7 separate regions of the Mus musculus genome follow, and all the other regions are reported to be linked to region 3. The links are microRNA targets in miRTarBase. Many come from high-throughput screens and were not tested one by one. Region 3 holds a microRNA gene; each other region holds the end of a gene's coding sequence.

What was found. Region 3 holds the annotated microRNA mmu-miR-5125 (UCUGCCUGGGAUUUCCUUGU, at 1,394-1,413, opposite strand). A microRNA usually pairs through its seed, bases 2 to 8, with sites in the 3' UTR of a target mRNA and lowers its output. Matches are read on the target gene's strand: a 7mer-m8 pairs with bases 2 to 8, a 7mer-A1 pairs with bases 2 to 7 and ends in A, and an 8mer does both.
Region 1: the mRNA of B4galt6 is a reported target of mmu-miR-5125. Seed matches in the 3' UTR shown: 7mer-m8 at 935-941 and 7mer-A1 at 192-198.
Region 2: the mRNA of Glyctk is a reported target of mmu-miR-5125. Seed matches in the 3' UTR shown: 7mer-A1 at 2,855-2,861.
Region 4: miRTarBase lists Lsm6 as a target of mmu-miR-5125. Seed matches in the 3' UTR shown: 7mer-A1 at 2,292-2,298, 7mer-m8 at 388-394 and 7mer-m8 at 314-320.
Region 5: miRTarBase lists Cdc37l1 as a target of mmu-miR-5125. Seed matches in the 3' UTR shown: 7mer-m8 at 1,413-1,419 and 7mer-A1 at 2,739-2,745.
Region 6: miRTarBase lists Pik3c2a as a target of mmu-miR-5125. Seed matches in the 3' UTR shown: 7mer-m8 at 2,410-2,416 and 7mer-A1 at 2,186-2,192.
Region 7: miRTarBase lists Mpp7 as a target of mmu-miR-5125. Seed matches in the 3' UTR shown: 7mer-A1 at 2,007-2,013.

The regions. Positions count from the first base shown.
Region 1 is chr18:20,685,059-20,689,118 of GRCm38, forward strand. It overlaps B4galt6 (UDP-Gal:betaGlcNAc beta 1,4-galactosyltransferase, polypeptide 6), which reads right to left. Exons shown (of 9, transcript NM_019737.2): 8 at 3,877-3,978; 9 at 1-3,410. The coding sequence ends at 3,263. Among named protein-coding and RNA genes, the nearest start is that of Gm16090, 22 kb to the left of the region's middle.
Region 2 is chr9:106,151,917-106,155,983 of GRCm38, reverse strand. It overlaps Glyctk (glycerate kinase), which reads left to right. Exons shown (of 4, transcript NM_174846.4): 4 at 1-3,124. The coding sequence ends at 743. D030055H07Rik (a long non-coding RNA gene) reads right to left here. Exons shown (of 7, transcript XR_003948237.1): 3 at 3,231-3,828; 4 at 2,955-3,090. It overlaps Mir135a-1 (microRNA 135a-1), which reads right to left and starts at 1,860; the gene lies at 1,771-1,860.
Region 3 is chr17:23,820,685-23,824,751 of GRCm38, reverse strand. Mir5125 (microRNA 5125) reads right to left here and starts at 1,461; the gene lies at 1,383-1,461. It overlaps Srrm2 (serine/arginine repetitive matrix 2), which reads right to left. Exons shown (of 15, transcript NM_001368687.1): 11 at 3,062-4,067; 12 at 2,052-2,339; 13 at 848-961; 14 at 632-736; 15 at 11-536. The coding sequence ends at 527. It overlaps Elob (elongin B), which reads left to right. Exons shown (of 4, transcript NM_026305.2): 4 at 1-12.
Region 4 is chr8:78,804,942-78,809,008 of GRCm38, forward strand. It overlaps Lsm6 (LSM6 homolog, U6 small nuclear RNA and mRNA degradation associated), which reads right to left. Exons shown (of 5, transcript NM_001191004.1): 5 at 1-3,304. The coding sequence ends at 3,270. Among named protein-coding and RNA genes, the nearest start is that of Lsm6, 14 kb to the right of the region's middle.
Region 5 is chr19:29,015,379-29,019,445 of GRCm38, forward strand. It overlaps Cdc37l1 (cell division cycle 37-like 1), which reads left to right. Exons shown (of 7, transcript NM_025950.4): 7 at 628-4,067. The coding sequence ends at 726. It also overlaps a transcript of Ak3 not described here. Among named protein-coding and RNA genes, the nearest start is that of Cdc37l1, 27 kb to the left of the region's middle.
Region 6 is chr7:116,336,741-116,340,795 of GRCm38, forward strand. Pik3c2a (phosphatidylinositol-4-phosphate 3-kinase catalytic subunit type 2 alpha) reads right to left here. Exons shown (of 33, transcript NM_011083.2): 33 at 536-3,483. The coding sequence ends at 3,301. All of the region lies in intron 1 of Gm10589 (a long non-coding RNA gene), which reads left to right. Among named protein-coding and RNA genes, the nearest start is that of Rps13, 4.6 kb to the left of the region's middle.
Region 7 is chr18:7,347,446-7,351,512 of GRCm38, reverse strand. It overlaps Mpp7 (membrane protein, palmitoylated 7 (MAGUK p55 subfamily member 7)), which reads left to right. Exons shown (of 17, transcript NM_001081287.2): 17 at 369-3,551. The coding sequence ends at 548. Among named protein-coding and RNA genes, the nearest start is that of Gm34979, 2.7 kb to the right of the region's middle.

The sequences.
Region 1 (4,060 bases), not on the chromosome of region 3:
GGCCTTGAACTCAGAGAACCTGCCTCTGCATCTGGAGAGCTGGGATAGGAATTTTAGTTTTCTTTTTTTTTCTTTTTTTTTTTTTTTTTTTTTTTTTTGGTTTTTGAGACAGGGTTTCTCTGTGTAGCCTTGGCTGTCCTGGAACTAACTCTGTAGACCAGGCTGGCCTCGAACTCAGAGATCCGCCTGCCTCTGCCTCCCGAGTGCTGGGATTAAAGGTGTGTGCCACCACGACTAACCGATAGGAATTTTTAATAGATAATTTTGTACTTAAATTTCATGAATATTTTCTTAGTGAACACCTTTCTATAAGACACAAACAGAAATTTAACTTTTACTTTTTAATTTGCTGTGTGTGTGTGTACATGTGTGTGCTTACACATATGGAAGTCTGAGAATACTGTGTAAGGGGAGGTCTCTACTTCTACAGTGTGGGTCCCAGGGATCAAATGCAGGTTGTCAGGCTTGGTGCAGGCACCTTTACACCCTGAGCCATCTCAAGGGCCTACAACTGAAAATAAATATAAAAAGGGGGCTGTGGAAGCCACCTCATTAAAACCCTAGTTTTGGCAAATAATTAAATGACAACTTTATTGAAAATCAGATAGAATGTGGGAAATCAATGAATGTAGGAACTTTCTCCCCATCAGCCACGATTTCTTTAGTTCAAAGGCACCATATCATTTCCCCAATGTCACAAGGACCTCCCAGCAGCTGGGACCACACTAGATTTGAGACTAAGACATCTAACAGATAAGTTCCCAGAGGGTGTTCTTTCTAATTTCAGATAAGTTTCAACTTTCTTGATTTAAGTTGTTTAGGAAAAAACAAAACAAAAAAACAAAACCTGCCTTTAAATACCACAGTTAGCCAGTCAGCGGATGGGAGACAGACACCCAGTGCAAAGCCACCAAATAGATTTGATTCTATCAGACTGCCTGCTTGTGCTAATATGTAAGAAAGAGATTTATTGTCACGTGGTCATGGTAACTAGGCAAAACTGTCATCCATGGAAACATACCCAGGTCACTATTCATTACTGAAAAGAATTCCAGGTCTGAATTAGAAAAGGTGGTTCTCACAAGCTGACATTCCAGATGCAACACGAAGATATAGCAAAATTACTTACATCCAATTCCGGAAGCCATATTAATACTAGACTTAACCTAAGAAAGTAAGGCAGATGACCAGTTCTGAATTTTCCTAAAACTGTGAACTAAGTATCAATGCAAAAGGCACCCCACTGTGGACAGCCCGCCACATTATGAAGTGTGTGTCCTCCAATAAAATTCCACATGGCACAGCTTCCCACAGCACTGTAAGGAGGGGCCAAAGAGCCCTGTCTCACCCGCCTTAACATTAACATTACATTCTGCTGTCATTCGGTCAAATTAAACACTTCATTAGCCACAGGAGACAGAACATAAACTGAGAACATACAAAAATCTTCATCTCCAGAAGTTGAGATTTTTTTTTCACTCTTTTTTGAGTAGCTAAAAAGGTTGGGAGGTAAATATTTTAGAAGCAATTCTAAGAATAAACACGGAGAGATTGCTGTCACAACAGGGCATCTGTCTTCTCCGGTGCAAGAATTTTAGTTATCACTGTAGGGTTTGACTTGTGGTCATCAGCATTACCAAAACTATGACAGACAATGACAACTGAAAGCTAAGCTCTCAACATTAGACAAGGGGAGCAAACTTTCTCACATCCAGAATTCTCACTCTTAGGGTTTACTTGACAGACGATGTTGTTCTAAATTTGTTTAAAGATGGGAGATAAGATCTTACATGTGAATATAGGCTATTTTTCAAGAATTTTTATAATCAATCATTTTCAAAGTAAGAACACTATTTGGGCTTTGTTGTTGTCTGGTCATTGAAAACCTCACCCGTGTGTGGAGGGTGAGCAGAAGTCACAATATCCACACAGTCAATTAATGACTGTAAGGTAAGTCTATAGGCCCTCGGCTCACTGCCCAGCACCATGGTGGTGGTGGTGGGGTGGTGGTGGTGGTGGTAGGCATTAAATTATACTTGTAGTGAAAAAAAAATTGGATAACACCAGAGATTTCTTAAAAGTGAAAAAAGCAGTAGGAGTGACGAGCTAATGTGAAAGGGAACCATGTATGTCTGAGAATTAAAGTTGAAGTTTGTTTTAATCTAAGCATTTATCTTCATAAAAATAGAGCATCTAATCTCTCATCTAATAGTATAATTCATCTGTATAAGCACTACTGGATTTTCCATAAAGTCATTCTTTCAAAAAAAAAAAGTTTTTAAAAGAAGATACCCTCTTTTGGTTCTTCTAAGGTGGGAATAATAATGTTTTCATTATGAGATTGAAAAAAATATATATACCGTGTATAAACACAACCGTGTATAAACACAACCTTGGGAACGTTTTTTTGAGGCACAAGATCCCTGACACGCGGAGGTACATAGAGACATTTAACATGAAGAAGTCCTGTACAGCACGTCACTTTACAACTGGGAAGGTTTTCTTGGTAATACTCATGCAGTATGCATAAACAATATGGCTGTTGACTTGGCAAGATCTGATGAGACTGCAAGCAAGGGAAAAAATAGACAAAACAAAACAGGTAATCGTGGCAGGAAGAAAAGTTATGCGAGTCCTTCCTTCCTTCGAAGCCCTCAGAGGACCGTGCCTCCTGCCATGAGGCTGAAGGTCTAAAGCTGAACACCAATAGTACAGAACGGTTACTATATTATCTTTGTCTGTCGCTGACAGTCCCTTCATTTGACACAAGGCTTAACCTTTGTTTGGCGACATAAATTTACATTTTTCCCCATGCAAATAAAAAAATGTCTATAAAAGTCCAATGAAGGCATAACCAATTACATGCAAAATTGTGACATCTTGTTTTCCAACAATTTGAACACATTTAATTTACATCACATATGTACAAAATATGTTTGAACGGAAATAAAAGCATTCTCTTGAATTAAATTATAGATTTCAGTATAAAAATCTTCTCTGTGTAGGGAGTTTTCTTCACTTCCAGTCCCAAGCAATGGGTTCTTATCTCTACAGTGCTTGCCATGGGGGGACGCTCCCAGCAGGGGGAGAGTGGGAGAGTGTGACGGATGGAGCCCGCGCTGTAAACATTAAGGATTGCTGGCTCTTTTTACAGACCGGGACACTGAGATACACCCCAATCTCTAACTTCCACGGTGAGGGCACTCCAAGCCAAGTTCATGATCCAGCACTGTGGTCTACCCCACCATGAGAATGACTTCTTTTAATAGTCTTCAATTGGAGCTAATTCTGGCATGAGGTTTACAGATATATTTGTATACAGCCTATCAACCAGTATTTTGGGTGTGTATAATAAATTGTTCAGTCCATCGATGTACTGCCGCTCCTTGGAATACCGAAGTAATTTATACCTAAGGGAAAACAGTGGGAAATGTGTTCAAAAGAGGAAAATATATTCTGAGGCATTCTTATAATAAAGGCATGCTTTAAACTCTCTAAGCCATTATTTTAAATTAGACTAGTCAAAAACAGGTTACCTTAAAGAGAGAGAATTTTATACTGTCACAAGTTAGATTATATTTTAAGAAGGGAAACATTCTAAAAATAAGAAGTTAACTAGTTATGAACATAGGCATGATTGTGTACATCTGTCTCTTCCTCTATATACACACACATACACACATGCCACACAGACACAAAGATACACAGACCACCCCCCACATACACACACAGACACACACCCTATAACTGTAACCCAAAAACATTTGCCAGAGACCTTTGATTATGAAAGAAAATTCCTTCCTTTAAAACAACAACAACAACATACAGCATAATTAATTTGGAAGCCCCGAAGTCTCAAGATGACATCACACTCACCGTCCTAGGAACTGTACCTCCCCTCGATGGTGATGAGGAATAGATATGTATTTTCCCAAGTCCCCTTCTGGCCGGGTTACATTGTAGCCGGCGTAGTGAACTCTGCAGGATAACATAAAATGAATTAAATGAATTCCAGAACAAAAAGAGGAAACAACAAAAACAAATCTGAGACGTTCCAAAG
Region 2 (4,067 bases), not on the chromosome of region 3:
GTGCTGCTCTTCCCCGCTCTGTGAAGACTGTGCTCTCCCGAGCTGACTCTGACCCCCATGGACCACACACCTGTGGCCACGTCCTCAATGTGATCATCGGCTCTAACTCTCTGGCGCTGGCTGAGGCTCAGAGGCAAGCCGAGGTGCTGGGCTACCATGCCATGGTGTTGAGCACAGCCATGCAGGGTGATGTAAAAAGAGTGGCTCGGTTCTACGGGCTGCTAGCCCGGGTGGCTGCAGCCCACCTCACTCCATCCTTGGCTGAGCGTCCCTTGGAGGAGGAGGCGGAACTCCATCAGCTGGCAGCTGAGCTCCAGCTCCCGGACCTGCAGCTGGAGGAGGCTCTGGAAGCGGTGGTAAAGGCTAAAGGGCCGGTCTGCCTCCTGGCTGGTGGTGAGCCCACGGTGCAGCTGCAGGGATCTGGCAAGGGCGGTCGGAACCAAGAACTGGCCTTGCACGTGGGAGTGGAGCTGGGAAGGCAGCCACTGGGACCTATTGATGTGCTATTTTTGAGTGGAGGCACTGATGGGCAGGATGGGCCTACAAAGGTGGCCGGGGCCTGGGTCATGTCTGATCTCATCAGCCAGGCTTCTGCTGAGAGCCTGGACATCGCCACCTCCCTCGCCAATAACGACTCATACACTTTCTTTTGCCGCTTCCGGGGAGGAACACATTTGCTGCACACAGGGTTGACAGGGACCAATGTTATGGATGTCCACCTCCTGATTCTTCATCCTCAGTGATGGTGTCGCTCACCGTGTGAGAGTGTAGAAGAGGCCTTCAAGGGCAGGGCCTCTTAGGAAGGTCAAGGGCCGATTCCCAGGCCCCACTGTGCCGCAGGACTTTTCCTCCGTTGCTCTGCCCGCCTCCCTCGGATCTACTCTATGCTTGTTCCCCCAACTAGATTAGAAGATGGGGGCTTCTTTCTACCCCTAGTTTCTGTCATGACAGCAGGTAGCCCTGAGGCCCAGCAGGAGCTTCTTGGCCAGTCACAGTTCTCATTTTCTCCCTGGATGCCTTCCTGCCCAGGTCCTCAGCCTGTCTCTTCCATGGAGCGAAGGTAGGGCACTGAAAATAAAGAGAATGTTGTGTGTGGGGGTCTCAGCTCATCTCCCCTCAGCACCTCTTTCCATAGCACAGATCCTCGGGGAGCTGCTGGGCAGGGACCCGTGGTGTGGCCCCAGCAGTGGTGCCAGTACCTTGAAGAGTTTCTCATACCCTTTTTGGCTGGGTGCACACTCAGGGTCTGCTGATGGCAATCTGTGACAATTGAATCTGTCTCCTAGCAGTGTCAATGTGGGTTAACAGGACAGGCTTATAGTTGCCTACTTAACCCTGACTCCCTGTGGTAGAAACCTGATCATGGTTTCTCCTCTCCTGCTGTTGCCTGACTGGGTGGAGACGATCCACTTGTCACCACGGCTCTTCCTTCTGTATTTGGACCACTCTCAGCTTTCCCCCTCACCCTCTGGCTATCAAGGGGTTTCTTCAGGCCGCAGGCATTGCACTTGTTCTCCTGTGCCCACTTTTCCCAGGCTAAACATTCCATGTTCCATTGTCGCTCCTCCGGGTACCCAGTTGGGACCCTGGTGCCAGCATTTCAGTGTGTGTCTCAGCACTAGAATGGTAGGTCAGAGCAGTGAAGGACCTCAGCAGTCCCTCACCCCATCCTGTCATAGCTGGCAGAGGTGAGTCACTTGGCTTGGCCTGCAGCCACTGGCCTGGTTTACCTCGAGCCCTCTTGTTCCACATCAGAGCCCTCTGTTGGCTTATCCTCACCGTACGCCACGGCTCCAATCCCTATATGAGCGAGCAATAGAATCACATAGGAATAAAAAGCCATAGAGAACAGTGAGGCCTGGGGCGGCCCCTGTGGGCCCTTCTTCCATCGTGAGGGTGTGAGGGGCTCTAGGTCAGAGCTGATGTGTCCTGGGAAGGGCCTCCCATCTCCACTGGGCTCTGGACAGTCTAGCTAGAAGTTGGGCCATGGCTTGCAGACCTGGCTCCTGTGTGTGTTCCTAAGACTGAGAAGGAGGTAAGCAAGGTGAGCTGGCTCTGAGGACCAGACAGGCTTAGGGAAGTGGAGTGGTTTGTACCATTTCTTTCCTTCTGTCCTTGTGCACAGGATCAGAGACTCTGGGGATTTTGTCTTTACGCTGGGGTTCTGGTATCCTCTAGGAGTGGCTCTGTCCCCGTGTTCTTGACCTTGGGAACGTATTCCCATTGGACACTGAGTTGCAGGCCAGAGCTTCAGGAGAAGAGCTTTTCAGCCGCATCCTTGGTGTCTCTGTGAGGTAAACACGTGAGCAGTGGACACTGGTGTCAGAATGCATCCACAGTGTACCCATGGGTGCTTTTCAGAGTAGGTTTGCTCGTGGGGACCACTGTCACCATTGCCTGCTGAGGGCTTCACATATAGGTAGAGTCTTTTTGTTGGAGGCTCCCCGTGTCTGCCTTGGTCACTTTCCTGTACCTATGCTCTCAGAGTCTGGGGGCCAGGGTCTGAATTGGGCCCCATTATAGCAAACAGTTTGTGGGCATAACCTTCTATATTTGCTCACCTATTTATCTGGTCATTCTAGATGATAGAAATAAACAAATTCCTCACAGTTAGAGCTCAATAGGACTGTTTTTTTTGTTTTTTTCTCTCCATCAATATCAAGTATGGAGCCAGGCCTGGTGCACAGGCCTATAATCCCAGGTACACGAGAGGACTCTCAGAGTATTGAGAGCTCATGGCTAGCCTGAGCTACAGAGTGAAAGCCAGCCTAGGCAACTAAGAGAGATCCCATTTTAAAGACCTTTAAAAAGGGTCGGGCAGTGGTGGTGCACGCTTTTAATACCAGCACTTGGGAGGCAGAGGCAGGCGGATCTCTTGAGTGTTTGAGGCCAGCCCAATCTACAGAGTGAGTTCCAGGACATCCAGTGCTACCCAGAGAGAACCCCTGTCTCACCAAGAACAGCAGCAGCAGCAGCAGCAGCAGCAGCAGCAGCAGCAGCAGCAACAACAACAACAACAACAAGAGGTCTGGGAATGTGGTCAATGATACTATTCTAGCATGTGTGAAGCCCTGGGTTGAGTTCCCAGCACTGAAAAATAAAATAAATAAATGAATGAATGGCTATATGCACATGTGTCTTACTAATTATGGATTATTAGAGACACGGCCCTCCTTTGGCTCTCAGCTGCCGTTTCTCCCGACTCAGGTTTTTGCTGGCCAAATCCTTACTTTGTCATCATGTGCTGATACTTTCCATGGCTTGAGGATTTTGCCACAATGGTGCTCAGGCCTCCTTCACATTAAAGCCTTCTCATTCTCTGCACTTGGCATGACTGTGGGTCTGGAGAGCCTTTCACGGTCAGCTTAGGTAAACCCATTTATCCTATGGCTGGAGAATTAGAGGAGATGGTTTATCAGGGACTGTAGAGCAAGTCAGTCACAGACCAGGGATGTGAACCTGCTTTGGGCTTTTGATACACATTCTCTGCTGCCCCCTGGGGCTCAGATACCATGGGGGCCAGCCCAAGGCGAAGCCAGAGTTAGGGGATGTGCCATTGTTTTCCATGTTGCCCTCAGTGGTTTGAGGATGGTGGCATGACCAGACTTAGCCTCTCCAGGGATCTGTAAAGCAGATTTGTTGGTCTCTTTGTGGTCTGGAGGAGCAGGGTGTTGAGTGGTTTAACAGGAGACCCCACGAGTGTGAATGGTGGGCATCTACATAAATGTGTGCACACACCTGAGTATGCATGTGTAGGGGTTTGTGTCCAACCAGTCACCGTGTGGACCTCCACACTGCTCTGCTCCATTCCAAGGTGTAGATGGTTTGCTGTGTTTAGAATTTCAGGAATATTGTGGGGCATGGTGGGTAAGGACACCTTAAAGGCTGGCAGAGGCAGGATGGCAAAGGGCCCCTCCCTCCCTCCCTCTCCTTCCCTCTCCCCTCTCTCCCTCTCCCCTCCTTCCCTCTCCCCTCTCTCCCTCTCCCCTCCCTCCCTCTCCCCTCTCTCCCTCTCCCCTCCCTCCCTCTCCCCTCCTTCCCTCTCCCCTCCCTCCCTCTCCCCTCCT
Region 3 (4,067 bases):
TACAGACCAATTACTGCATTTCTCATTTTTATTTGACAGAAAAAGTTGCTTTTACTGTACAGATTTTAAAAAACCAAAATGCCTTAAACAAAGTTGGGGGGGAGAGGGCCTCACAACCTTGTAAGGGGGTGCAGCAGGGCCAACCAACTTCAGCTCCTTCCTCTTTCAGGAAAGATTACAACTTACCAAGTTAAACCATCAGTCACCCAAGAATTTAGGGAGCTAACTCCCTGGATCATCACAATCTGAGGCCTAGATGTCCTGAGCTGTGCCCCTCCCTCCCTAGACTCCCTCCCTCCCACTCCAACCCCCAAAACACAAGAACCAGGAAAAACTCACAGAGATCAACATTTCACAGGAACCAAAAAAAAAAAAAAAAAAAAAAAGGGTGGGTGGGAGAGGACGCTCTCCCCTCAAGATGCTGCCAAGGTTCAAGGGAAGGCATACAAAGACTCCTTCCATGATTCTTCTGGGAAAAATGAGGAATACTCATGTCTCCAGAGTATGAGGTGTAGTGGAATCCAGATTATGGAGACCTGGAATAGAGAAGACTGGTCATTCTGGGTCACCACACATATCCCTATCCCTAACTACTAGCTCTCAGAAGGGCCAGACTTCCAAGGAGACACACCTGGAGGAGCGGTGACGATTAGAACGGGGACTAGGTGTCTCCTTCCTCTTGTGACCAGGAGAGTGACTGTCCCCTCGCTGGCCTCTCCAGGAAACTCGCTCACTGCTACAAGAGGAGAAATTAGGTCACAGAACAATACCAAAAACTTTTAAATTTTGCTTACAAATTAATGGTAGCTAGTTGAGTCAGGTTGCTAGCACCTGCTATAGGCCCTACCTCTGTAGATCCCTTGGTGAAGGTTGGGGCGAGGGCTGTCGACGCTCAACGGGTGAGTAACTGAGGGATCGGGAATCCCGAAGGGAGTCTATTGGCTTCCGAGGACTTCGAGACCTAGGAAGCAGAGTAGGCCTCTATAGCTCCACATCCTCCCAAACCCACCAGCCAAGCATTCAGGACCACCCACCCAGGTCCTGACCACCAAACCTCACACCACACAGGGCCAGCCTCAGACCCACCTTTGTCCGCACTCACCCATCCGCCCGCACACCATCCACCGAGTACCCCAGTGGACAGGGCACAGGGTGCAGCGGGGGATGCAAAGATAAAAGAGTCCCTGCCCTTGGAAGAATTTTGTTTGGTAGTAAAGGTTAACAATGAAGGCACACACGCCCCCTACATAGGAAACAGCCCAGCAGGATGGATATGCATGGGCCTGGGGATCCAGAGAAAGGATGGGGACCTGGGCAGGACAGGGAAATGGCAGGGCAGTCTTCTCGGAGGTGCTGTTTGAATGCAGTCTTGCAGAACGAGTTCACCAGGCAGACAAGGAAATCCCAGGCAGAAGGAACAGCATGTCCAAAGGCATGGGGCTCTCCTTAGACTGCAAGGCGCTGGGTATGGCCGGAGCACGGGGCATGTGTGGGGGCGGGCAGGAGGAGCACAGGGCGGGCAAGGGCAGCTGGTGAAGAGCCTCACACGCCATTCCCGCAGAGGTGGCACTTTATCCTGCAGGCCACAGGGCGTTCCGGAAGGATTTGTGGAGTGAAGGGAAGTAACCAGATGTGCGTTTTAGAAAGATCCCTCTGGCTACGTGTGGAAGAGAATGGCGTGGAGGCAGGGAGACAGGGAGGAGGCTGTGGACAGAGTCGGGAGAAGATGACGGTGGCCAGACCAGAGCCCTGCAGCAGCAATGGGGAGACTTAGAGCTAGATCTCTGAGACCAGGCTGCTTGTCAGGGGAGGGGAGAGGGAGGAAGAATCCTATGACTTCCCAGATATGGCCTGGGACACCTCAGTTAGATAGTGCAGCCCTTGACCAGAATACAACACTGTGGGAGGATGGGAGGAGTCCGGCACTCCTTCTCCCGTACAACCAGTCACAGACGTCCACACGAGGCACCCCAGCAGGAACCTCACCCAGGGTCCCCTTTCTGGAGAACTCACCCCAACCCCCCTTCCACAACAGGCAAGAAAGCACTCACCTCCTCTCGCCAGGGGGTGGCTTCTTGGGGCTTGCAGGTTTGGGTAATGCCTGAGGGCCAGGCTTAGCAGGGGAGGGGGAGGAGGAAGAGGAGGAAGAAGAGGAGGAAGAAGAGGAAGAAGAGGAGGAGGAAGATGAGGAGGAGGAGGAAGAGGAAGAAGAGGAAGAGGAGGAGGAGGAGGAGCTGGAACTGGAGCTGCTAGAGCGCCTCTTCCTTTTGGCCGGGGTTGGTTCCTGAGGACGTCCCTCTCTAATAGCCTCCTTTGGGACTGGGGTGGGGCTGGGAACCCTGTGAGAGAAGAAAGGTGTCACAAGGAGACAAGATGCCCCAACCCCAACCCTACCTTCCTTGGCCTGGAGGAACGGCAGTGGGGGAGGGGTGCCTGAGAAAAGCCCTGGGAAAACACGAAGGCAGGCCAGTGAGTAGTACTTCTCTGGAGCAGTGGCACAGAGCTGACCAAACCTCTGCTAACACAAGCAACAGGCTGGGGCCCGAAGCACAAGGGATCAAGGTTAAACCTCAAGAATGTCCCTGATGAAGGATTAAGGCCCCTGGACTCAGATGTGGAAGCTGAAGCTGGGTGATCTCCTTCCTTGGAGAGCCGCAGCTTGGGGAGGCCCCTGTGAGTGCAGGTTGGCTGGGGAGGGGCCGTCCTGCCTGGAGGCAGGGAGAGGGATGGGATGACCTCTGAAGATCCTTCCAGCCCAGGGAGTTCCTCTTGAGGTCTAACTGCCATCCCTCCTGCTGTAAAATTAAGTCCATTTCCTCTAGTTCTGTCCTCTGTAGAGATGGAAAACTTATCATTATCCTCTGGAGAATTAACCTTTGGAGACTTTTATCTGTCCCATTCCTCCCCACAAAGCCCCCGCCCAACATTCTTTCTACTCCCAGCTTGAAGGCCAAGGTCCCCCATACTTTCTCAAAGCCAAGTGCTTTTGACAAGATTTCTCCCTCCCTACTCACCCACCCATTGTTAAGTCCCTGCTCCCTAGATCCCTTAATTGCCTCACCTTTTCAGTGCCACCTCAGGTTGAGCTGGAAGGCTGGAACCCTCTGAATCACTAGAACTGGAGCCAGAGGAAGAGGAGGATGACGATGAAGATGATGAAGAGGAGGAGGAGCTAGATGATGATGAAGAGGAGGAAGAGCTCCGACGTTCCTTAGCTGGTTGCAGAGCAGCCAATGTAGAAGGCTGCTGGGCCCCAGTAGAGGCAGGTGGCTCCCCACCTTCAGCATGGGATATCCCAGGGGCAGGGCCAGAAAGCATGCCATTGTGGTCACTAGCAGAGGATGTGGACTTCGCTACTGTCCCGGATGAAAGGGACTGAGACCCTGCTACAGGAGTGGTCTGGACAACTGAACGAGATTGGTCTGAAAAAGCAGATGGCACAGGGGACCGAGGCCGATCCTGTGCAGGAGGGAGAAGAGATTGCGAAGAAGCCTGAACCATTCTTGAAGCAGGGGAAGGAGCCCGCTCACGCTCAGAGGTCATTCTAGACTGGCTTGGGGCAGATGGTGGTGTTCTGGACCTGGCTCGATCAAGCATTAAAGGTGAGGTTCTGCCACTAACACGATCATAAGCAGAAAGGGGCACCCTGGGACTGGTGAGGTTTGCACCAGACAATGCTGGAGCCATCCTGGAACTGGAGAGATTTGTGGGAGCCAAGCCTGCAGGGGTTCTAGAGCCAGCAATATTCACAGGAGCTGTGCCATGCGCAGATCGAGGACCCACCACCAGGTTTGCGGGGGTTGGAGCCTGGGGTGTTCTGGAACTGGAGGGGTAATTTGCAGCAGTTGGAGGTGTCCCAGAGCCTGTGAGACTCAAAGCTGCTAATGCAGCTGGTGTTCTAGCTCCTGCTAGGTTCACAGCTGAAGCTGCAGGGGTTCGAGGATCTGCAAGGTTCACAGCTGAAGGAGCCACTGCTGTTCTAGGGCTGGCTAAGTTCATAGCTGCAGCAGCAGCTGGTGTTCTTGAGTCAGCAAGGTTCACAGATGCCGGAATAGCAGATGTCCTGG
Region 4 (4,067 bases), not on the chromosome of region 3:
ACTATTTTAAAATCCTGTCCCATCTAAAAAGACAGTGTCAGGTACTTTCTCCTATAAATAGCCAGACTTGCAAGTGACTTCCTATCGTGCACAGGGGGTAGTATCTCACTTATTCATTTAGGGTACCACATAGATCCTGTCCACAGCTGCCATTCAGTGGGCGCTGATCATCAACATCATTTCTTCCAACTCCCCTCCCTAGTTAGCTCCTCTAACTTTTCAAGAAAGTAAGTGTGGTGGCTTGAATTTTGGCCCAGAGAGTGGCACTTCTTTGGACATGTGTCGCTGAGGCGTGGGCTTTAGCTTGTCCTAGCTGCCTGGAAGCCAGTCTTCTCCTAGTGGCCTGCAGATGAAGATGTAGATCTCTCAGCTCCTCCTGCACCATGCCTGCCTGGATGCTGCCATGTTCCTGCCTTGATGATAATGAACTGAATCTCTGAACCTGTAAGCCGGCCCCAGTTAAATGTGGTCCTTATAAGAGTTGCCTTGGTCGTGGTGTCTGTTCACAGCAGTAACAACTAAGACAATAAGCAAGCATCACTTGAGGCTGTCTCTTGCCCTATTACATAAGAGGTGCATACTGTCCACCCTGTCCTTTAGGCAAGACTTTGTGGAATCACAAATGGTTGATCAATGGAAACACTCATAACTGCTTGGCCAACTACAGTAGACACGGCAGCAGCTCCTGGGATAAAACCCCCTGCTGGACATTATTCAGATCAGAGCACACCTAGCCGTGTACTCTCAGAAGCCAGCTGATTAGAACAGGTAGCTGCTGTGGAGCACAGCCGCTTGAAGGTCGTGAGGGAAAAACTGCAGTTGGCTTCTTTCACCAATAATTTGTTTTGGGGCAGGAAAAACAAATAAAACGTGACAAGCATAGATTGGCTATGAGAACTCCAAGGTTGAGATCTTCCCACAAGAGGAACAAGCCAATACACCATTTTCTCTTAAACCAAAAGTCACTGTAAAGACGGGCATGTATGCTAATCTGCACTGAGGGACAGACTGGCTCCTTGGCCTGGAATGCTGTCATCCAAGAGGCACTGTGAATATCAAAGACAGTTTTCCCACAGTGCTTGTTTCTAATGAAGCTGACTGTAGCCTCCAGGGTGATGCGGCTCACACTTAAGTCGATGCTGCTGTTTCCAACCTTGAGGAAATCCCTTAAGCATTTGTTACTATCTGTCACATCATTAGGAACTCCTCGCATGCATTACATATGGCCTCAAACATGATGCTCAAGATGTGAACCCTGTCTGCAGGCTGAGGGGGAACATGGTTCAGACCACATGGCCGCCATCTGTATTTGTACTCGTCTACAGCTCTGTTTGGGATAAACACTTTTGAAGTAAGAATTGATTCAGTCTGCAAGATTAGCCAAGGAATAGCTCACAGACCAAAACAAAATATGAAGGCAGATAGTCTGGAAAGCAAGCACAAGTTCTGTTTCCTGCTAGACATTCTGTTTTGTCACGGCCCAAGAGAAAGATGGTGGCAACTGTGGTTGGGGGCATAGGGACACGGAAAATGTATTTACTCAAGTGAAAAATTTTCACCCTACAACAATTGTCTTTGCTACCATCCAACTGAAAACCATTCACAGACCACGAGGAGACTACAGTTAAAAAAAAAGTAATTTTACCATTTACAATTTGTTTCAGAATTCTATCACAAGAAGGTATGCACAGGGGACAACATGTGCTGGTCCAGATGCATAATATGGTTATTACCATAAAAATGGTAGCATTTCCCAAAGTCCATCTTGATTAAAAGCGGTTCCATGGATGAAAACAATATTCTGCAGTAGCGCTATTAAGCTAGAAATGGCAAGAGGGAAATAAAGACCTGCAGGCTGGAGGGGAGGTCAGGGAAGAAATGAGCAGAGCCGGGATGTTACAGACTGCTGGAGATAACAGCAGGGCTGCTTTCAGGGCAGCTGAGGGGATGAATGAAGGGATGCAGTAACCTGGCGGCCTCACACACTCTAAAAAACAAATGAGAACATGTGTGCTCCACTCCGAGAGACATCCATTTTCTCCTTTAAAGAAGCCATTTATAAAAGAGCAAATTGGTGATTTGTACTTACACACTGGTGCCTTTGCAAGCCCCTGTCAGGAAGTGATGAATTACTGAAGCTTAGGATAAAGTGTTTTATTTTCAGTGTGCACACCATCAAACCTTACTCCTCTCTTTCCTGAGTTATTAATTGTTTCTGATTACTATTTAAATTAGACAAATGCCATATATACACCTCTCCAGAAAGCACACCCTCCCTCCTTAGCTGTCCATCTGCCTCCACTTCCTCCAGCCGGGCAATTGCTCTAAAACTGTCCGACCTCCCGAGACAGGGATCTGTTTAGATTGAAGGAGGGTAAGGAAAGCCCTAGCGTCCATGCAACCAAAGCACCCACACACAGTCCACAGACAGCACAAGCCCGCTCAGCGGGAGTCACGTGACCTGAAGGCCAAGAATACAACCCTTTCCCCAAGGCCACTTGCTAAAGCAAAAAGCAGGAGAAACTTTCGCAGCCGAAGCTCAGTGCCTGGAAACTGAGTCTAAGCACTCTGGGCTTGCACCACCTCAGCCACAGCCAGTTTCTCAGGAACAGTAGAGCTCCTCCCCTGGCTGGCGTAACCAGCCATTGCACCAACACTCTCAACAGGGAGCAAGTTAACATGAAGAGTCTAACTGCACAGGAGGCTTCCAGGCAGTGTCTCACCTCACGTGGCTGACCTTTCCAATTCCTGACTCTACAGTTGCACTCCTTTGTGGAGATACCACCACTAACTAGGTGACTAAATAAACAGCTGATTTTCTGACCTCTTGTCCCTTTATAGCCCAAGGCTGAAACCATATGACTTTCTATCTACCTGCTTTAAATGGTACGGATGGTGAGTAGAGAAAGAGACAAAGGATGCCTCCAGAATGCTTGATCACAGGTTCCGGGATGTACCACTTAGTCAGCTGAATACGTAATCAACCAATGGAATGACAGGGCAGGAATCTTAGGTAAAATAATCCTGGAGAAACAAACTGTTTTAGTTTTAGCATTCTGTACAGGCAGAAATGATAAAGACTGAGACATAAATGTGAAAAACTTAAGAGTCGATCTGTAATGCAATACCTCTATCTTATTCCAATGTCAATTAAACAAACAAACAAACAAACCCCCACCAGCCACCATGAAAACAGGCCAACTAAGATGGTAAGAGAACCAAAACCACTTCATCTATCCATCTCTGAAGAGCACTGCCTCCTGGTGTCTTCACATCCGCCTCTTCTGTGTACTTATGTACAGCACTGGAAAGACAAGAGAACGAGCAGTCACTCGAGGGGCACAGCATCGGTTCAGTTTTAAAGGCATTCATGGGTCCTGGCCTACACCTCGAACACTTTAAAAGACTGTTTCTACCATGCAATGAAGGTCTCTATAAAACAAGCTTTGCGTCTAGACCGGGCTTGGACATCTTACCTGATTATAACTAGTCTTATCTATGCATGTTACTGACTTTACAAATTATGACTGGGAATTAGAAAAGTGAAAGTGCCTAAAATGTAAGAATGATTTGTAAATAGCTATATCACAAGTTTTGAAAAGGGCGAATCAGCCAGATCTGTTAGGTTAGGTGTCACATTCAGAATGACTAGCACATGTGTCTGGAGAGACGACGCCCATCACTTAAGAGCAGATGTAACTTGCAGATGTTACGGAGCAACAGGGCTGGGTCCCCAATTCCTACAAAGCAGTTCACAACCAACTGTAAATCTAGTTCCAGGGAGTCCAGTGACCTTGTGTGGCCTCCTCAACTACCAGGCACGCATATGATGTACTTACAGACATGCAGACAAACACTCATACACATGAAAAAAATGTAAAAGAAAGAAATGGCATTATTTTCGTTTATCTCCCCAGTTTACTCTGTAAATTGGTTTACTCTGATAATTTCCATAGGAGGAAAAAAATGAGAAAACATTTTTAAGAAAGCAAAGTCCTTATTCTGAGATTAGTATAAACCTTTGGTGTCATCCAACATGTATTTTCGCCAGTCATTCTTAGCACAGT
Region 5 (4,067 bases), not on the chromosome of region 3:
TTTTGCCTTCATCTAAATGTTTTACATTTATAGTTCTTAACTCTTGTAATTAGATGATAATCTTAAGAATACATTGCTGGCTAAAACCTGTACTTTAACAAATGTAGTTTTTAAGTTTTATGTGTCTTGAGTGTTTTGCCTCACTCTGTATCTGTGTGTCATGTGCATACAGTGCCCACGGAGGCCACATGCAGCTCTCAGATCCCCTGGGACTTGACTTTCAGATGGTTGTGAGCTGCTATGTCTATGCTGGGAACTAAACATGGTCTTCCGTACTGCTGTGTCATCTCTCCAGCCTCCTAAAGGCATGCTTATTAAATGTAATGCTTATGAGGAAGTTTAACCTTGTATGGTTAAAGAATTAAAATTATAGTTTTGTTAAAAGAGATAAGAGGGGTATCTGTAACATTTCTGTTCCTGTATATGCACTCGGTCTGGATAAAGAATAACATTCTATCTTTAGTTCTTCAGGTTTCGGTCTGTGTGGACTCCACAATTCCACTTTCTTTCCTAGTATGCTCTGCTGCAGAGGAATAGAAGGTGAAGCCGTGTGCACAGTTGCATGTGTGGTGTGAAGCTGCTTTTCAAGTGTTGTTCCCCGTCTGTCTTTCTTTCTCTCTCCCCCAGAATCCAGATTCTCTTCAGTGTTGTACCCCTGCCCCTCTGTGCAGTGTAGACTCAGTGGTACACAAAGAAGATGATGACCGAATGATGGACACTGTGTGACTCAGCTAGACTGCTGAGCCCAAGGACTAGTTTGTTACGAGAAAGGAAGAGCCTGGCTATTTTCTTGACACTTTTATGGGTGCTGCACTTTATTTTTGTTTGGTTTTATGGGAGGGAAAGAGTACTGAAATGTTTTGCAACTTTTTTTATGTGCTGCTAGGGTTTTTGTTGTTGTTGTTTTGTTTCTGAAGGGAGGAGTGGTAACCATATGTGGCAGGAAGTCAAACTGGACAGACTCTCCCCCACCCCTCAGTTACTAAATTTGCCTTTAACTATTCTTATTTTTGGAATCAAAGTATGAAAATCTGCACAACACAATGTTTACAAGACTGGTTGACTGAGGAGATGTCTGCTACACGGTCTTTTTCTTACATGGATATACATGTCCTACTTCGAGGAAGGAATTCAAGATAAAAGTATGCTGTGTCCCACTGCAAAGTTCAGCTGTCAAATCTGGTATTCATCACATTAAAAGCAATAAATCCGCAGTGGTGACCTACTTTACTAATTAGTAAGCTGGGTGGCACAAATTGCTATTTTAAGACATTTACGTTTGTATTTTCGGCACCACCAGTTAACTCCTTGGCTAGTATAAATTTGATATTAAAAACATTACATTTATCCCTAAAGTAGTCTCAAAACTGTTCAGAAGTTGACTTTGTCCTGATGACTGTTTAAATATTAAGCAGGCAGTGAGTGTAGAAAATGATAGTTTTCTGTTTTTCCAAGAAGATAAAATGCAAGCTTACTCTAATCTACTTGACATAGTCCGGGACCTCTCAGGGAGTAAGTTTTAAAAGAATAGTAACGGCCTGTAAGAACAAACAGGAAGAGTAAGGTCCTTGTTAAATCACAGCCACTGTGTTCCATGTGGTGAAGCCTTGAGAAGTGGGAGCTGAGCTGCCAGCCATGCCTAAGGATTGCTAACAGCCCCTTCAAAGGCGGTGACGGGTCTCACTATCTGCTACTCGCTTCTAGCTCAGTTACTAGAGGATGCCTCTGAGTTTTACTGCTTCCTGTGTAATTCATTGCAGATCCACCAGGATGTTTGATGATTCTTTTATTTAGAATTAGATGACAGTGCCAATTATGATATCCTTATTATTTGAGGATTAATCTTCCAGCATACAGGAGCGCTAGCTTTGGTTATTTTTGAGTGTGATTTTTGGCTCAGTACCCACTTCAATTTGTAGCAAATATTTGGAAAGTGGGTACCCAGGGTTTGGAAATGCAGGTCTCAGTTTGAGTTAAGAAATCATGCTAAGGGGCCATGGGGGCTCAGAGCTGTGGCCTCCGCCTCAGCTGTCCTTTTCAGCCGATGGGGCACCTAACCCTGTGGAAATGGACTGGAATTGTTGAATCATACTTCTGTAATGTCACACTCTTCCTAGTTCCCAGAATAAAAGTCTTTTTGTGCTTTTGATATAAATATATATATACTCTATAATAAAATGTCTGACTAATTTATATGGCAGTGCTCACTGGCTTATAAGTTTCTTTTAAATCAGTGACCTAGTCATTGAAGTTATTTGTTTTATTTTTTTCTCTCTTCCTTTTTCTTCTTGTCTGGAGCATGCTCTGAGTTTCCCTCTGATACCAAGTGGACAGAATAGAACACAGTAGATCCCTGATTTCACAGAAGTAGCTCTTGACTGACCACCTTCCACTTCACTTCTGCCCATGACTTGTCTATGGTCACCCAAGTGGCCGTAGCTTTCATTTTGTCTTCTATAATTTAAAGCTCTTGATGGCCAAAACAACAACAACAACAACAACAAAAGTATTAGCAAAGTGAGTATATAATTTTAAAGTTTATTTTGGTTTTGTTATCTAAAACAAGAATTAAGAAAACTTTTTTAATACTCGGCTGGAACTTTTTTGCCAAAGGAATCACTAACGGATGTCATAATTTGCACTTAAGGATGGGAACTTGACCATTAGCAGGACTTCAGTATTAAGGTGATCTATTAGGCTGTGTGTGGTCGTGCATGGCTTTAATCCCAGCGCTTGGGAGGCAGAGGCTGGTTTATCTTTCCGAGTTCAAGGACAGCCAGAGCTACATAGAGAGACTGTCTCAAGACAAAATGACAGTCTTTTGGAGTCCTTCGATTTCCTTGATTTGAAAATGTCCTCTTAGTATTGAGCTAGCTATCTCCAGAAAGAATACTCCTCTCTTTTCTTAAGTAATAAAGAATAATACTACTTATCAAATAGATAACTCATATTTCAAGTGAAAAATTTTTCCCTAATCTATGAGAAATTCAAACTAATCACTTAATCAATGAAAAATAGTTGACATCAAAGTTATTTAACAAAGACTATTGTGTTTTTTCTTTTAATTTTTAATTTACTTTATTTATCTGAGTATACTGTAGTTGTCTTCAAACACACCAGAAGAGGGCATTGGATCTCATTACAGATGGTTGTGAGCCATCAGGTGGTTGCTGGGAATGGAACGCAGGACCTCTGGAAGAGCAGTCAGTCTCTTGACTGCTAAGCCATCTCTCCAGCTCCCAAAGACTGTTGTTTTATTTTAATGAAATAGCTGAGGGCTTAGAATGGTTCAGTTGGTAGAGCTCTCGCCTAAGATTCAATGAGCCCTTGATTGCATCCTCACCACCACATAAACTGGGCACGGTGGCACATACCTGCGGCCTTAGTGCTGGGGATGTGAAGACGGGAGGGTTAGAGGTGCATAGTTTCCCTCAGCTACATAGCAAATTTCACAGCCAGCCTTCTGCCTAGATGAAACTCTGTCTTAGAAGAAGAGAGACAGAAAGAAATAGCTGTACTCCATGTGTCCTAAGAGCTGTTGTTCCATCGAATGGTAGTGGAGAACATACTGATTAGAATTATTGCTCTGAGATTCGCTTTTAATTACACCATCTATGGTTCTTTCAAAATTTTTTGCCTAAGAAACTTATAATAGCCTTTAATTTCTCTTCAGAAACATTAGGCCTTTTTTAGACTAGCATGCATATTATTGTAAAAGCGAGTAAGAGCGCTTGAGATGGCTCACTTGGTAAAGGTGCTTGCTGCCAAGCCTGCCAATCTGTGGGACCTAAATGGTGGGAAGAGAAAGCCAGCTTCCTCACGCTTCATCCAACCTTCATACATGTGCAGAGCATACACACACACACACACGAGTTTTATCTTTACTTTTAAAAAATGTATTAAGTAAATTAACATGCTTCCCCCGAGAGCACACATCTCTGTTAATAAGTGGTCTCCTTATAGTGGAAATGCCAGCGAGGTGTTCTCAGAAGAGTCAAGTGAGTTACTGCTCTCAGAGGGAGACACATTTCAGTTCTTAAGTTGGTGAGGAGCAGAAGTGGTACTTG
Region 6 (4,055 bases), not on the chromosome of region 3:
CTCTGAAGATTTTGGGAGCCAGAGGCTTTTTATTTAATGTATGAATGCTCTGCTGCATATAAATCTGCCCACTGGAAGAAGTCATCAGATCCTCTAGTAGATGGTTGTGAGCCACCATGTGGTTGCTGGGAATTGAATTCAAGACCTCTGGAAGAGTAGCTAGTGCCCTTAGCCGCTTAGCCATCTCAACAGCCCCTTAATTGTCCTTTCAAGGTCTTTATACTGGTTTTTTTTTTTCCAAATTATTAGAATGGTTAGAGAGCCAGTCTTGTGCTCATAATCCAGAATAAAGGTATGGTGTTAATTTGCACTTCCGAATGTGGCTAAGTGAACTTTCACAGACCAAGAACCATGCCTACAGAATTCACATCTCAGGAAATGATAGGCTGTAGCAGATTATCTAGACCTTCAAAGAATCACATTCAAATTCAGGATAAATTTTACAAACTCCTGGGTAAGATGCAATAATTATTAAAGTTTAAAACCAAAATACTGAATCAAGAAGGAAGGAAATGACAGCCAAGTTCCTTTATTTCAGAAATATTTTAATTGTAGTATAGTTATGAAGTCACATTTAATTCAATGAATATATTCCAAGTATTAATAAAAATATTATACATCTTAACTCACTATGCTGATATAATTAAAGCATTTTCTTCTTACAGGCGACACTAGTAATCACATGTATGTTTGCATTGCTGGTGAACAGCGTGTAAGTAAATGTGTATCATAATAGCAGGTCTTCAGTGTTTGTTTAAATCTGAGTTATCAAAAGTGAATTTTTTTAAATGTTACAATTCATGAGTCTTAGAAAGAATTAAACAATTTAAGGCAAGATTTTGAACTTTATATACAACTTTAATTTGAAAAAAAAGTACTTAAAAAAGATACACATGCTTTAACAACTCATTCCCATAAACACAGTAATATAAAGCATTGGTGCCAGTCTCATTGGATTCCTCAGAGAAAACAGGTTCTTGGGATGAGCGATCATCTTCAGATCCTAGAGCACTGGCAAGAACAAAGAATTCTGGCACAGGACTTGTATGTAGCAGACTTATTTTTACTTGAAGGTAGTTATAAATATGATATACATAAACATTAGTGTCTTGGCCTGTCTAGCGTTCTCGTTTTCCGATGTATTTTAAGGTGACTGTTAAGAAGCTCTAGAAGCCAGCTGACTATGGTGACTGCAGCCGCAGTGCACAGAGGCTACGTTCTTCCTCCCTATCACTGTTTTTTTGGTATGGGCTGAAGATTAGCATTTTACAAAGAAATAACTTACATTAAAATATATGTATTCTAATGACCAAAGAAGGCACAAATTGAGTAAAATTAAGAGACAGTATCACCTTTTGAATTCTTGTTAACTATACAGTATTACTTATAATATATACTTTTAGATATTAATCAGATTTCTTGTCACTGAAGTGACATTACATTTTTAATTCTGTTTCTGCTAAGATACACGGTAACAGATCACAAAAAGGTCCACGAGTCCAGTCAATGACGACCTTTTACAAACAGCATTTTTTTAAGTCTGGGTGACCCATGGAATGGAATTAGGTTTCTCTCAAAAGAAAAAAAATATTCTAGTGCTACTTACATCTGCAAAACTATTTAAGGAAATGTTAATTGTGGAAAAAGCAAACAACGGTGCTTAGATCTTCATTTCAATTATCAAGTAGACAACACAGTTTAATATAAAAAATTCACATACTCATACAGGTTTCCCTACAAATGGACCATAGTGTTAGGCACCAAATATTTCAAGTTTTGATTTTTTTTAAAAAATGTATTCCAATGATAACACTCTTAACTCTTAATTTAACTCTGTAAGCATCATCATTTCTGTCAATCACTTTGTACAGTTCATAAAAATTTTATTCTAGCGAACTGAATCCGATTGTCCTTTCTTGGTACCCTTCATTAAGTAGTTTGTCAGTTTTCTCTTAACTACCAAATTTGCTACATCTCTATTACCTTTCTAAAAATATTTGAACTTCTAACCAAGAAATTTATTATATATACATGTTTATCAAAACTAAACAAAATTATGTCTGAAATGGGGAATAAAAATGAATCTTTTTTTATTTTTTGAGACAGGGTTTCTCTGTGTAGCCTTGGCTGTCCTGGAACTCACTCTGTAGACCAGGCTGGCCTCGAACTCAGAAATCCGCCTGCCTCTGCCTCCCAAGTGCCGGGATTAAAGGCGTGTGCTACCATGCCTGGCTTTAAAAATGAATCTTATTCTTAATGGCTACTCCACAGTAACTTCACACTTCTCTCTTGCAATTTTCATTTCAGTATATTACAGAAAATAATTCTTTCATGTGAATGTACAATGTTTCCAAATACAGGACAGTTTACACAACACCTTCCATAAATGTCTAAATTAAACTCCTTATCCTGCCTGAGCACGTTACCAAACAAAATAGGGAATAAGGCTGAACAATTTCCATTTGTTTAATGAGGGAGTAAAGTATAAATACATGGAAGTGAAACTCCAATTTCAGTTCACACCCTTACAAATGATAATGGAATGATAGAATTTAGAATACTAATTTTGAATATCAATCTCATTCAATTACGGGGCAATAAACATTAAGTTAAATAGCTTAATAGTGAAAACAACCAGAAGTAGAGGAAATAGTATTTCTGTGGAGAAACCATTAGTAAATGTGCATGACTTGCTGTCCTCAGTAAGGTGAAAATGCATGAAAACTACTTGCTCTTTAATCAGAAGTAGAGTGCCAGTGAAGCATGTAGTTAAGTAAGGCACTGTTATTTACAACTTCAGTCATTGGCACTTACTCTGAAAAGGCTTTAACAATGAATAAAAATCGTATTTTTTTCTATTCTATAAACGACTTAGTAGTTCTCAGCATTCTGACTACTATTTGTGCTTTGCGTTTCAGCCTGTTGAGTAGCAGCTGCATCTTTCCTTTGGTGTCTGTGAACATACACAGTGGTAAAGGCTGTGAGGTGCATAACAAAAAACAATTTGCTGTGTCTGTGTAGGAAGAGTACAGACAAGGTGACCAAAATGACACAGTATTATGTCAAAGTCTTTTTCAGGACTTAGTATATATTAAGTTTGGGATTGGTAGCACTCAACAAAATAACTTTGAAATAGCAATGGCTTCTATAAAAGTTAGTCATATGACTGACAGTTGGTCCAACATGTTAAGTTTATAATTTCTGCCAAAGTATGAAATTATACAAAGTTCCCAAGTGTGTGTATGTGCGCATGCGCACACATTTATAACTCCTTGTTTCCAAAGCTCAGAAGTCGGAAGTTTATAGATACGTTGCCGCAGTCAGCTGATACCACTTAACTGTCTCTTTGCTCAAGTTGAAATCTTTCAGTGGCAGGGTTATTCCACCCAAGAAGAAATTCTCCCGCAGTGATTCTGCACTGAGTACACTCAGTTGAAGTTCTCTCTGCCTCAGAGTTTCTTTGCTGTATCCACTATATACAAGCTAGAGGAGGGGAAAAAGGATAAGGATTGGTTTCTTGGAATCTTTTCAACAAAATGTAAGACATCAGTCAAAAAGTGATGCAATGAATGGCACTGACTAGAGCAGCAGAAGCATGCTTTTAACTTCTGGTCTGTCAGTGTTTAACTCAGACACTGGGTAAAGTAGGACCAATCACTGTCAAAAAACAGATCCCCAAACTCTCAGTCATGGTTTCTGTGAGCTGGAGTGACGGGGAAAGAAAAAGAAATTACCTGGTGATTACCTTAAGGTGATCTAATCGCTGGAGAAAAAAAAAGAGGATAGATGGAAAGCAAGTTTGATAATATAATTTTAAAATTATCTTCCAAAAACAGATTAAAATTCCATTTTCTTCTTTCTTTTTTTTTTTTGGTTTTTGAGACAGGGTTTCTCTGTATAGCCCTGGCTGTCCTGGAACTCACTGTGTAGACCAGGCTGGCCTGGAACTCAGAAATCTGCCTGCCTCTGCCTCCCGAGTGCTGAGATTAAAGGCGTGCGCCACCACACCCGGCTAAAATTCCATTTTCTTTAAATGCAGGAAATGGTAACTTCTT
Region 7 (4,067 bases), not on the chromosome of region 3:
AGGGGCATTTGAATTATTTTCCTGTAATGCTTCCAACACTAAGGAAGTAGTTTGTGTTATACTTTATTTCTTGTGACCAAACATAAATAGCCAAGCCAGAGCATCAGAGTAAACAGCACCCCTGCTATCCATGACAACAGCAATGTGTCCATGCAATCGTGAGTTAGTTATGACCCTGAAGGGAGTTCAGCTAAAGCTGATGTTAGCAGTAAAAACCTCTAAAAAGGTAGTGAAGGTGATTTTGTTTCTTTATTTTGTTTAAAGTTTGAACACATAACAGCTTTAGGTAGTCATTGTAGAATGTTTACATTTATGTGAAATAATGCAGTTGTCTGGTTACTTAATTTGTTATTACTTGTTTTTAATAGGAAGAAGACTTTCAGGAAATGATTAAATCAGCACAGATAATGGAAAGTCAATATGGCCATCTTTTTGACAAAATCATAATCAATGATGATCTTACTGTGGCATTTAATGAGCTAAAAACAACATTTGACAAACTAGAGACTGATACCCATTGGGTCCCAGTGAGTTGGTTACATTCATAACTCAGAGAAATGTCCTTAATTGTCTTTTTACAGAGTTGCATGGTTAGATCAACTACCATGGTTTTGGTAGGATTTTTTTTTTAATAATTAGTATCACTGTCACAGATGTAAAGTCTTCAATGTCAAAGTCAAAATTTCAGTGCTGGTTTGTTTATGTCTTTCACAGCCTTATTTGAAGCACATAAGTGTACAATCTAAGTCAAAATCTGCACAATGCTATAGTCTTAGCAAAACTTGTATTTACTGGTTTTCTTTAATCTGTTTCTTTGTGAGAGGCAGTAGGTATCAAAGTTCATGCCTCACTTGGGCTCAGGTGTGCTCACAGCCCTTCACTGGGCATGCTTACAGTTGAAAGCATGGGCTTGGCAGCCTTGAGCAAATCCACAGATTTAACTGAGCTGGAAATAAGACTCTCCTTTAAAAAATATGTTCTTCATGTGCACATCTTTAAAACAAAGAAGAAACTCAAATCTTTTCTTGAGGAAGTAACTCACATATTATAGCTTAGGAAATCCTTATGAGTACATATTAGTGATGCCACCAATATTATATAAGAAAAATCTAATTCTCCTGTTTAAGATGAGAGTCTCACTATGTTGTCAACACTAGCCTTGAACTCAGCCTTTGTTTGCCTCAGCCTCCTGAGTACGGGAACATGCCGCTGCATCAGGCTTAAAAACGACTTAACTGATACTACAGATGTAGATACAAACTTTTCCTCATGGTTTAGTAAAAATGGCTCTGTCTTAGGGCAAGAAATGATTACACAGCACCACTTGCTTTAATCTATCATTCTTCAGAAGACATTTCTGGAGTCAGAAAGTTTTCTTCTCTTGCTTTGGAATTTCTCAACAAATTATAACAATGAGATAAGTATTCAAAAACATGTAACACGTGTTAGAGCACAGTGAAGGAAGAGGTGCTCATGTTTCTGGTGTGCAATCACCACACATGTAAATTGTCCTAAAGTGTGTTTTAGAAACCTTATATTGTGTTAAATTTTTGTCAACAAAATGATTAACACCAGCCAGATTGCATTTCAACCTATTCCAAAGGAAGGTGGGTTTTTAAATGTTTCAATGACATTGTTCCTTTTTCTATAATGCCTTAGGTCTCTAGCAAGTGAATGATTTGCAATACTACAAATATCCATAGTTCAATCTTAGAGCAGGTTCCTGCCAGTACTCTGAGCAGTACAGATTAGTCAATGGAAGATTCATCACATCTATGACTTGCATACAAAAAATTATTCTTGTTGCTTTGTAAAGAGTTTAAATATTATGTTTAAAGAAAAAATAAAATGTAGGGAAATTTTATATATTTGTGAGATATTTGAAAGGCATGTTTTTAAATTATCAAATGAGGCTATTCATAAGATAAATTGTATGTAAAGATATAATTTAAAATAGTTTTATGGGCCGGGCGTGGTGGCACACGCCTTTAATCCCAGCACTTGGGAGGCAGAGACAGGTGGATTTCTGAGTTCGAGGCCAGCCTGGTCTACAGAATGAGTTCCAGGACAGCCAGAGCTACACAGAGAAACCCTGTCTCGAAAAAAACAAAAACAAAAACAAATAAACAAATATATATATATATATATATATAGTTTTATAAGCAAGATCAACATTCCATGTAAATATTGGACCTTTTGGCAGATAGGTCCACACACATATTACATGTTCACTGCTGTTTGGTGGTGTCCGTGGCTAGCTTTCCTTAAGACAATGTCAAATTTCTGTGTGAAGCAGAAACAAAAACTTTTCTAGTGACCTCATTACATGTTCAAGCCCAACAGTCAGATGATTGGACTAATGAACACAGTTCATGGAAGTTCTGTGCTTATTAATTAAAGCCATGCAGCTCAAACACAGAGAGAAAGGCTACTGAATTTCTACTCTGATATCACTGCTTTGTGTGGACTGTCTAGAAGCACAAGTCTTAAAAAGTTGGTTTGGATGGAATGTCCTGTCCCTTGCTCGATGTGTACACTTCTCTAAAGGAACTTTCTAGACCAAGAATGGTGAGAAGTGTGTCCAGCATAGGACATTCTGAAATAGTTTAGGTATCCCATGTTCATACCTCAGGTATCTTTGCTGATTGTTTTTCTTCATCTGGTGACTGCTCTCTTCAGTTTTTATTTTGGGTTAGTGCTTGGGAAATTTGGGGTAGGTAGTGAAGGTGATGGAATGTCATGAAAATATAAATGTCTGCACCTGTTAGACCACAGCTGAGCATCTTTCTTTAAAAAATAAATAAACAGAAATAAAGCAGTTTAAGAAATCAGGTGGCATGTAGCCTTACCTGTTCTATTTCTTGATGCTTATAAAGAGATTTAATTTAAACATAAAAGCCAGGCCAAGATACCAACAGCATTTGGCCTTGCTGTGCTCTCTGACCTCAGCACTCCCACCACCAAGGAGAAAAATACTTTGCTCCTAGCTTTCAGCAGCTTGTTTCTGGGGTGCAGTGCCAGCCACTATTAGAAAAGCAGGGTTTCATTGTTTATCCATTTAAAGTTGAACCTGGTATGAGGTGCTTTTTTTCTCCTCTATCTCCCAGGTAGAATGGCCTAAAAGTAAAGAGATAAACTTGAAACAATAACCATGGCTTTACTGAGTAATGTGGAAACTTGGCATCTATAAGGCTGACATTCCTGGTACTATATAATCATCAAGTGTACCTAAACTGTAGTAATTTAAAGTGAGCAAACATGTAAACTCAGATTTACAAAACTATGGAATCAAAAATGTCCCTGAAGATTCAGATTTTCATTTATTTCCCTGTGGCCTATGATGGATTTATAGATAAATGTAATGGAAAGTTTTTTATTTTAATAAAGTATCTTCAAACAATATATCTGCTTGAAAGTTGTTTAGCACTTGAATATGCTATAATTGTTCTACCCTGTGCTGCTTTTTCCGTGGTGGAACAAATTCCATCCTTTGGTATTATATAATTTATTTGATCTTTCCATGCCTAAAATTAAACATTATATTTCTCTTCAAATAATGCTTTCAAGATTATTGGACAAACGAAATTCACTGCTCTTTGTCTCTTAGTAGAAGGTGGGGATGTGCAGAAGCAGAATGGGATGGAGAGTCCAGGCCAGTGTGTTGGCAACACCCATTCTCATCTTCTATTCATTTCCCCTGCTGGCAGACCCAGTTCCATAAGAACTTATCATCTGGGCCTAGGAAGACAAACTGTATTCTTTGGGGAGACTAATCAACACTGACTGGCTCCATCGTTGTGTCAGCACGGTCCTGCTCCAATAGAGAGACTATATGATACAGCAAGGTTAATCAATCAAGAGAGTCATCAATTGATCTTTGTGGGGCTGAGAGTCATGCTAGGCATACGTATGCATTGTGTCCCCAGTCCTGAATCTAAACTTCTTGTTTGATTTCCAGTTTTGAGTATTACCAGCTTTGAGACCTTGGGGCGGGGGTGGGGGGTTGTAAATGGAATGTCTCTGGTCATCCTGTCATACCAGGATGATGCACTTAGAGAGAGGCCAGG